Linked DNA regions of Macaca mulatta. Each later gene encodes a partner of the first gene's protein in a complex. Links are inferred from orthologs where the notes say so. Each region holds a gene or a part of one and is shown on either strand. Other genes may lie near its edges. The genes, in order: DPM2 and PIGY.

Region 1 (4,582 bases):
TAAAAATAGAAAAATTAGCTGGGCATGGTGGTGACTGCCTGTAATCCCAGCTACTCAGGAGGCTGAGGCAGGAGAATCACTTGAACCCAGGAGGCAGAGGTTGCAATGAGCCAAGATTGTGCCATTGCACTCCAGCCTGAGTGACAGGATGGGCTTCCAACAAACCAACGAGATAAATGCCAGAGGGAGTGAACCATGCCAGGCTCAGAGTACATCTCTCCCCAAACCCCCCAGGTGGGGACAGCAGGCCAAAGGCCTCCACATAACCCCTCAGGGAGGCCTGGAGTCCAGATGCTATACTCCAGGATCTAAACAATCACTGAATTTTAAAGCTGGCTGGTTCAAAACTCTTACTTTGGGCCGAGCGCGATGCTCACACCTGTAACCCAAGCACTTTTGGAGGCTGAGGTGGGCGGATCACCTGAGGTCAGGAGTTTGATACCAACCTAGCCAACACGGTGAAAACCCATCTCTACTAAAAACACAAAAATTAGCTGGACGTGTTGGCACGCGCCTATAGTCCCAGCTACTCGGGAGGCTGAGGCAAGAGAATCACTTGAACCCAGGAGGCGGAGGTTGCAGTGAGCTGAGAACACGCCACTGCACTCCAGCCTGGCCGACAGTGAGACTCCCATCTCTGGGGGAAAAACAAAAAAACAAAAAAAACCTCTTACTTTGGGCCAAGCCTCCACGGAGTGCCAGGAATACAGCAGCAATCTCAGATCCTACCCTCAGGGAGCTGACAGGGCCGGATGAACAAGTGTGTCAGTGAATTAAAAGGCACAGGAGGCTGGGCACGGTGGCTCACGCCTGTAAACTTTTGGAGGCCGAGTTGGGAGGATCGCTTGAGGCCAGGAGTTCGACACCAGCCTGGGTAACATAGAACTCCGTCTCTAAGAAAGAAAAAAAACCCTTCCCAGCTGGCTTCCCTGGGGAACGTGGCGTCCCAGTGAGGCTGGATGGATGAGGAGCAGCCGGCCGGTGAGTGGTGGGGGCCCGCGTTCCTATCTCGGAGCTGAAGAAGCGTGGAAGATGATCTGGCCCAACATCCCTTTGTTCTCAGAGGAAGGATCCTCCAAGATCGGGGAGGGGCCTGTGCGTGGGTTCTGGTCCGAAACATGTCTGGGCTGCTGCGAGAGGCAGCCGGTGAAGGAAAGGAGGGGACATCCAGAGGGTGGCCCAGGAGGCCAGGCGATGGTGAGGAGGGCGCCCCCTCTCCACCAATCCAAATCCTCCCCATTCATGCGGGCTGGGGACAGACCCTCCCCCGCCCATCCTAGGCTGAAAAGTGAACATTCTCTGCGCCTCTCCCACCTACAGACTAGTTACGGCCCCCCAGTTCCCGTGTCGGCTTCACCACTGACTCGGATTGGGATCTACCTTTCTCTGAGCCTCGCTTTTCCCATCTGAAAAATGGAACTTCCGATCCCGCACTCCCATCTCACTCTGACCCCAGGACTTTGGGATACTTAGAGATTGGCTTTTGGTGGGGCGGCGACAGGACTGTGGCCATGAAGGCCAGGGAGTCTGGGTCCCCAACTCGGTCCCATTCCCTAGGGAGATTCGGGCAGCAACCGGCCCCACAATGCTCTTGAGAACTACACTTCCCCGATATGCAAAGGGGAGGAGGCGGTTCCTGCTAGTCTCCGACGACGTGGGCCTGAGCCGGCCTGGGGACTACGACTCCCGGCGCGCTCCGCAGCCCAAAGCCGGAAAAGCGTGAATCCGGAACCGGATGTGGCTTGCGGCTCCGGTGACTGAACGCGCGGGGAAATGGTGAGATTGGGACAGAGTGCCGGAGATAGGGGCGTCTGGGGGTGGGGTCTCGGGTGCTCAGAAGCTGGGGCATGGGCACTGGAACGGGGATTGCTCTCCCGCCCCCCCTATTGTACGGACGATAACGCGGAGGCCTGGCATTCTCTCCCAGCCTAGAAACTGATCCCTAGTCAGCCCTCTAGCATCTTTTTTTTTTTTTTTTTTTTTTTTTTTTTGAGACGGAGTCTCGCTCTGTCGCCCAGGCTGGAGTGCAGTGGCGGGATCTCAGCTCACTGCAAGCTCCGCCTCCCGGGTTCCCGCCATTCTCCTGCCTCAGCCTCCCGAGTAGCTGGGACTACAGGCGCCCGCCACCTCGCCCGGCTAGCTTTTTGTATTTTTTAGTAGAGACGGGGTTTCACCCTGTTAGCCGGGATGGTCTCGATCTCCTGACGTCGTGATCCGCCCGTCTCGGCCTCCCAAAGTGCTGGGATTACAGGCTTGAGCCACCGCGCCCGGCCTCCTCTAGCATCTGTTGAATGGGAAGCTTAGACCGTGATTGGGCCGCGACGCCCCGCCTCCATTAGTACGCCAAAATAGAGAGTCACTTCGTCAGCTGAGACCTCCCTTTTCTCCAGGCCACGGGGACAGACCAGGTGGTGGGACTCGGCCTCGTCGCCGTTAGCCTGATCATCTTCACCTACTACACCGCCTGGGTGATTCTCTTGGTATGTCATTCTCCCCGTCCGCTGCTCACCTTCCCGTAGCCCTGGCACCGCCAAAGCAACTTCTATGTAGGTTCTAGGCACGGCGCTGGCTTCATTGCCTGCCTTATCTCTTGAAATCTTCAAAACAACGCTATGAGGAAGATGCCAGTGGTGCCGCATTTTTTAGATGAGATAGCTGAGGCTCGGGGAGAAGGATCTGGCCCAAGATTGCATCCTTAGCCGCTACACTTAAAACTCTGTTTCCAGCTTGCTTTGACTTTTGGGGGAGTTATGTTCCTTCTGGGTTAGCCTGCTGACTCAGGCATGGCGAGCGCCAGTGATATCTGTGAAGGCCTTTAGGATATTTTTTTCTTGTGGGAAAACTTGTTGGTCATTGCTTAAGAAGTGCAGTGTGTTTGGAAGTGCAGAACTTGCTATCCTTTAGGGAAAAAATATTAGTGAAGAATCCCTGGAGGCCCAGGTTGGGAGTCAGTCGAGGATTCCTCATGTACTATTTGCTAGGCTGTGAGTGCCTTAGGGCTGGTCTCTTGTCCCCTGTTCTCTTGTCCCCACCACCAACCTATGGCAGGCACCAAAGCAAGTGCCCGGTAAATACCAATAAGAAATTAAGGAAGGAAACAAACCATGACACCCAAATGCCATAATCTTAAAGAAAAGCAAATGCAGGCCCAGTGCTCTGAATGGGCCAGCCCCTTAGATGCTGGAGGTGGTGTGTTTGGGCTTGGGGGCTGGGCAAGGCGAGCAAGGCTCACCAGAGCTCTGCCCTCGATGCCAGCCATTCATCGACAGTGAGCATGTCATCCACAAGTATTTCCTGCCCCGAGCCTATGCTGTCGCCATCCCACTGGCTGCAGGCCTCCTACTGCTCCTGTTTGTGGGTAAGTCATCACTTCCTCCCCTTGACCCCGGGCAGGGTTTCGGGGGGACCCCACCTCTGAACATGCTTCCACACTTTGGCACTGCTGGAAGCTCTTTGCCCCGAACTCACCCCTGGGGTTTTCCTGTTCATCCTTCGAGGTTGCCAGTCAGTAACCTCTGGGTTTCCTGGTGCCCCAGGCTTTTTGGACTCCAATGACCTGTCCCCCTCTTTCCTGCCCCCAACCCCATCATTGCTCTGCTCACACCTCAGTCACCCTCTTGTCACCCTGGCTTCTAATTCCTGCACCTCTCTCTCTCATGGCTTCCTAGGGGCGGGGACTGTGTCTCCATCATTACTGTGCATCTAGAATGGGCTGTGGCACTGAGGTTGTGCTCAGAAAGTCATTTGGATGAGTCAGTCAATAGCCGGGTGCCTGGATGATGGGTGGGTGGATGGGTGGGTGGGTGAGGTATAGGAGGTGGGTAGGTATATAGGTGGACAAGTGGTTGACTGGGTGATCTATAGATGGGTGGATCTTGTTCCCCTTGGAATCTGAAACACTAAATGCAGCATCTTTGCCTGAGGCAGGCACTCAGCTGGTGTTTGTTGAATGAATGTGAGTGGACCTATGGCTTGACGAATGACTAGGGAGATAAGCAGGTTCCCTGGAGAGTGGTTGGGTAGGTTCACAGCCCTGCGTGTGGGTGGCTCTGCTGTGTCGTGCCCTGGCCTCCCAGCAGCCCTGAGCTTAGATCTTATGTGGCCTTTCTGGTCTATGTATTCCAGGACTGTTCATCACCTACGTGATGCTGAAGAGCGAGAGGGTGACCAAGAAGGCTCAGTGAAGGTCCCGCGGGGATGAGGCTGCCAGCCCCTTCTCTGCTTCCCCTCCAGCACAGGGACCAAGTAGGGGAGCCTGCAGAACCTGTCCAGGCACAGTGGCGCCTCCAGCCTGCCTGTCCTGCAGAGTCCCCATGACATGGAGCTTACCCCTGCCTGACCGGAGCCCCCTCCCTGACTCTCACTTCCAGAAGCTAGGAGGGAGGAATACCTGGAAGACTCCAGTCACCCCCTTCTTGCTCAGGGCCTAAAAGATGCTGGTCTCCCAACCTCACTCTCAGACTCCCTGCCACCTTTTCCCCCGGGTTCTGCCATGTTGCCTCACTTCCCCTCCTGTCACATGCTGACATTGGACTTAGCGGGTTCTAGGGCCGCATGTGTGACCTCTCTGACCTCTCTCCAC
Region 2 (4,451 bases), on another chromosome or scaffold:
AACTTATCTTTCCTACAGTTCACCCCTTCCCTTGAGCCCAAATTATCAACTGACTTCAACTGAAAATTAATTCCTGCTACTGCCCTAGTCGGAAATAGTGTGAAGGTAACATAGGAACTTTACAGTAGTTTCCCTTGAGGGTAAGTCCTGGTAACTGCCCTATTCTCTAGTCCGTTAGTGACTGGGGGGGTAAGTCCTGATAACTGCCCTATACTCTAGTCCCTTAGTGACTCTAATAACCGACTATGAAAGATTTCTTTGTGGGGGAAGGAAGGTGTGGCAACCGGAGACTTTCATTATCTCTTAAATATCTATCCAGTAGAAGTGTTTCCTTTTTGGTATCCTACAAACTACATTAACCTTAGAAAATCTCCTGAGCATTAGTGAACAAAGAACATCAAAAAATTAACTTTTTTTTTTAAAAAACAGGATGGCCCAAAAAACAAATAGACAAAAAATTAGGATGAACGCATAAACATTTCTCAATTTATTTTTACATTGGAGTGGGAGAGAAATTTGAAAATATAAACATATTTTCGTATTCTTTCCTTCTAGCCCCAGGAACTCAAAGTGTGAAATGATAATGCCCAGAGATGCAAAAAAAAGTTCAGGTTGATATTCAGCAGAACGGAGGGAAAAAATGGATGACTAACAAGAAACTTTGAGTCTTCGGACATGGAAAAACTAGATGACATAAAAATAAAAATAGACAACATTAATAGAGCACTAATTTGTGCCAGGCACTTTTCTAAATGTTCTTCGAATGCACAATCACATTTATCCCCTACCTTGACAGAACAAGGTAGGTACAATTATTAATCTTATACAGATAAGTAAAATGAGCAGTTAAGTCACTTGCCGAAGTAATCCGGCTACTAAACTGTGGACAGGAAACCAAGCTGTCAGGCCCCAGAGCCCAAGTTCCCATCTACTACACTGTAAGAAAGAGATCTAACATGCATCACTTCCTCGGAGAGTCGGAAGCAAACCTGGGATACAAATTCACTGAATGGATCACCCATTTGACTAACAGACATCTGCCTGTTACACAGTTATTTAGGCCCTTTGCGGCCTCCAAGCTCATTGATAGAAGTAAATTAGTTGTGCTTTATTACGCAAATACTTCACAATGACTGGGTCTCAGGCAGGAAGAATTTATATATTTTGGAGGGTCAGAGGCCTAGACCATTCCTTCCAGGTTCTCACTTTTTTAAATGAGACAGAAAGAAGTCAAACAAGATTACAGAAACTAATGGTATAGTAAAGACGTACATGAAACAAATGAACGCTTTCAATACATCCATGGCAATACATTCAATACAATACATGACAGTGTGTTTGAAACTTCACTTGGAGGTAACCACGTAGGTCCAAGCCTAACTCCCTACAACTCTGAGATCTGGCCACTGGCTTCCTAGCATCTCTGCCACAGGCCCCGGTGAAAGCCCAGACACCTCGACTTAAACACTGATTTAGTTTGTAGTCTGGTAAGGCGGCGGGGCACCCACTAGAGGCCTCAGCCCTGGGGCTGTCCTACGGCCTGCAGATGACGTCCGTGGGAAAAGCAGTCGGAGCAGGAGCACCCTCGGAACCAAAGCGCCCGCCCCGCCTACTCACCGGCAGCGTTTCCCAGAGCACCAGGGGGCGGGGCCTGGTCGGCTGGCTTGTACTACCGCGGAGCGAGGAGCTCGGCCCCGGCTGGCGGAGGCGCAGTGAGGCCTGGTCTCCGGCTGCCAGACCATGCTGAGCGGAGCACGCGGCAGGCTCGCCTCAGCGCTGCGGGGAACTAGCGCAGCGCGGTCCGCGGTCGCCTGTAGGTGTCTGCACGCGTCGGGCTCGCGGCCTTTGGCCGACCGGAGCAACGAGACGGAGGAGCCGCCCCGCGCCTTGGATCCGGCGCTGCTGGAGTTCCTGGTGTGCCCGCTCTCCAAGAAGCCGCTCAGGTGACTCGCTGGTCTTGGCCCTTCCTTCGCAGCCTCCCGGTGGGCGGAAAGGGAGTGGTGGACCGCGGCCTGTCTCAGCCACTGGGGACTTGTAGGTCGGTGAATACTCTCCGCTGCCATATTCTGGACTCTGTCCCCGCCGGTGCATGCACCTCCCCCTGCGGCGGGCAGAACGGGGGAGACCGGAGGCCAGGGGAGCCGCGTCCCACATCTCCCAGAGCACATAGCCAGCCTGCCGGAATGGCTCGAAGCGTTTTAGGCTTCGCGACCGGCTGCTCTTTGCAATCACCCGGGGACCGTTTTAAAAATGCCGATTCCCCTGCAGCCCCCAAGACGGGCAGACTTGGAATGCTCGGGGGTTGGGACCTGAACATTTGTATTTTCTTTTTTTCCTTTTAAGAGACAGGGTGCCCCCCTACGTTGCCCAGACTGGCCTAGAACTCCCACCTCAGCCTCCTCAGGAGTCGGGAGACAGGCGCCGCCCCCACGCCCAGCTTATTTGTGTTCTTAAATGGTCCCTAAATGATTTCTAACGTACCAGCAGGTTCTTGAATTACTGCGATTCAGGACAAGTCCAAAGCCATCCGGTTTTTAAGCCAAGATAATGAAAAGTATTTTACCCTCCAGATTCTTGTGAAAGTGTCTTGTACAACTGGTGCCTGACAATCTTAAGCAATTCAGCTGTGTATGCTGCCTGGTGGCTCTTAGTTGTGGCCTAGCAGATTTCTTAGAAGCCTCTTTAACCTAGTTTTTGGGAAGACAGCTCTACAGTTTCCAAGCTCCCAAAAATGGAATATTGACAACACTAACGCTAGTATTACAAATCGCATAAACGAAACACCAAAACGTTGTCAGTGGTTATCTTTGAGTGGTAGATTACTAGCAATTTTTCATATTTCTTTTTTCCCATAATAAACATATTCAGTTTTCTCAAACCTTGAAATTATTTGATTTGCGTTTATAACTAGCTCACGGCAGACTTACTGCTTTCCAAAGTTTCCTCATTTCTGCCCTCTCACCTTTTCCAGTGATTTCCTTCTAATGGATTAGTTAAGTTTTTCTACTTAGCATTTATTCTAAAACGAAGAAGTTGATTTTTCTCTAGTGTTTATTCCAGTAGTAAATTAACAGAGATGATTTGGGGGTTGACCAAAGTAATGAAGGAATATTTGGATAAGAGAGGGGGATCTTTTCTGACTAGTATGAAAAAAAAATTAAGGAATAACTTGTGAATAAGGTGAAAAAGAGAATATGAGAGAAACTGACTAAAATGGGAATAATTATAGATTCTAAGAGAATTTTTCTAAGATAAAAGGTTGAATTGGCTATCGTTGCTTTTAATTAAAGAAGACTATTCTGGGATTAACTCCATACCAAGAATTGGATAAATGGTGGTATTTGTTGAAAATCAGGCTCTTCAATTATTTTATTTTTCCACAACTCATTTTGTTCTTTTTTTTTTCCACCCCAGATATGAAGCATCAACAAATGAATTGATTAATGAAGAGTTGGGAATAGCTTATCCAATCATTGATGGGATTCCTAATATGATACCACAGGCAGCTAGGATGACGCATCAAAGTAAGAAGCAGGAAGAAGTGGAGCAGCGCTAGTTCATAATTAAAAAAACATAAAACGCAACAGCCAACTTTTCTTAGTACCATATACCTTTTAAAACACAGTGGCAGGTAATAAGTGGAAGAGAAGAATGTTTCTGTCTCTTCCTACATTGACTGTTCTTATTCCACTGGTTTCTTTAACAGGACTGTTCTACTCAGCCTCTGTGGAAGAAAACTTCCCACAGGGCTGCACTAGCACAGCCAGCCTTTGCTTTTACAGCCTGCTCTTGCCTATTACCATACCAGTGTATGTATTCTTCCACCTTTGGACTTGGATGGGTATTAAACTCTTCAGGCATAATTGATGCAACTAGAGTCAATATGCTGTATACATTAATGGTAGTTCTTGGGCATCTATCTCTGAAAGCTCAAATGGATGGAATTGAGTTTGTGGGAAAGAGGCTTTGCTTTGCGCATATCAGGCTTAGGACTGTGGGAAGCTTAAGTTGCAGGTGCTTCTTTTATTGTGCTCTTGTTCTGCCCTTGTTTTTTGAAGGCTCTGACTTATAACTGCTGTATCAGAAGAAACATTTTGACAGTGTCTTGTTGGAGATAAACATCCCTAATTGACATGTGATGACTATTTCTTATTCCATTCATCTAAAAGTCATTGAAATTTTGTTTTGCTTGTTTGTTTAGCTTCAAGGTCTTTGGTAAAGTCACATGTTAGGGATGACTGAAATAATTCCAAAGGAGTGATGTTGGAATAGTCCCTGTAAGGGAGAGAAATGCATTTGAACGAATGTGATACAAAACCATATAATGAAATAGAAATTTCATGTACTTACAAAAATTGAGTTTGTAAAATTACCTTCATTTCTTTGACATTAAATGCTTATATTAGCAATAAAGATGTTGACACTTTCCCATAAAAAATAAACCAGTTTGT

What was found.
Region 2: DPM2 (region 1) and PIGY share a complex: the UniProt entries of both Homo sapiens proteins name them as parts of the glycosylphosphatidylinositol-N-acetylglucosaminyltransferase (GPI-GnT) complex. The link is inferred for Macaca mulatta from reciprocal best matches to the Homo sapiens genes DPM2 and PIGY.

The regions. Positions count from the first base shown.
Region 1 is NC_133420.1:19,758,440-19,763,021, forward strand, and holds the start of DPM2 (dolichol phosphate-mannose biosynthesis regulatory protein), read left to right. Parts: upstream 1-1,745; 5' UTR 1,746-1,773; coding exon 1,774-1,776; intron 1,777-2,390; coding exon 2,391-2,480; intron 2,481-3,132; exon of another isoform or gene 3,133-3,177; coding exon of another isoform or gene 3,178-3,255; coding exon 3,256-3,358; intron 3,359-4,125; coding exon 4,126-4,184; 3' UTR 4,185-4,582. UniProt on the Homo sapiens protein: Regulates the biosynthesis of dolichol phosphate-mannose. Regulatory subunit of the dolichol-phosphate mannose (DPM) synthase complex; essential for the ER localization and stable expression of DPM1.
Region 2 is NC_133410.1:97,843,249-97,847,699, reverse strand, and holds PIGY (phosphatidylinositol N-acetylglucosaminyltransferase subunit Y), read left to right. Parts: upstream 1-1,651; 5' UTR 1,652-1,740; coding exon of another isoform or gene 1,741-1,943; intron 1,944-3,414; coding exon of another isoform or gene 3,415-3,556; 5' UTR 3,557-3,651; coding exon 3,652-3,867; 3' UTR 3,868-4,446; downstream 4,447-4,451. UniProt on the Homo sapiens protein: Part of the glycosylphosphatidylinositol-N-acetylglucosaminyltransferase (GPI-GnT) complex that catalyzes the transfer of N-acetylglucosamine from UDP-N-acetylglucosamine to phosphatidylinositol and participates in the first step of GPI biosynthesis.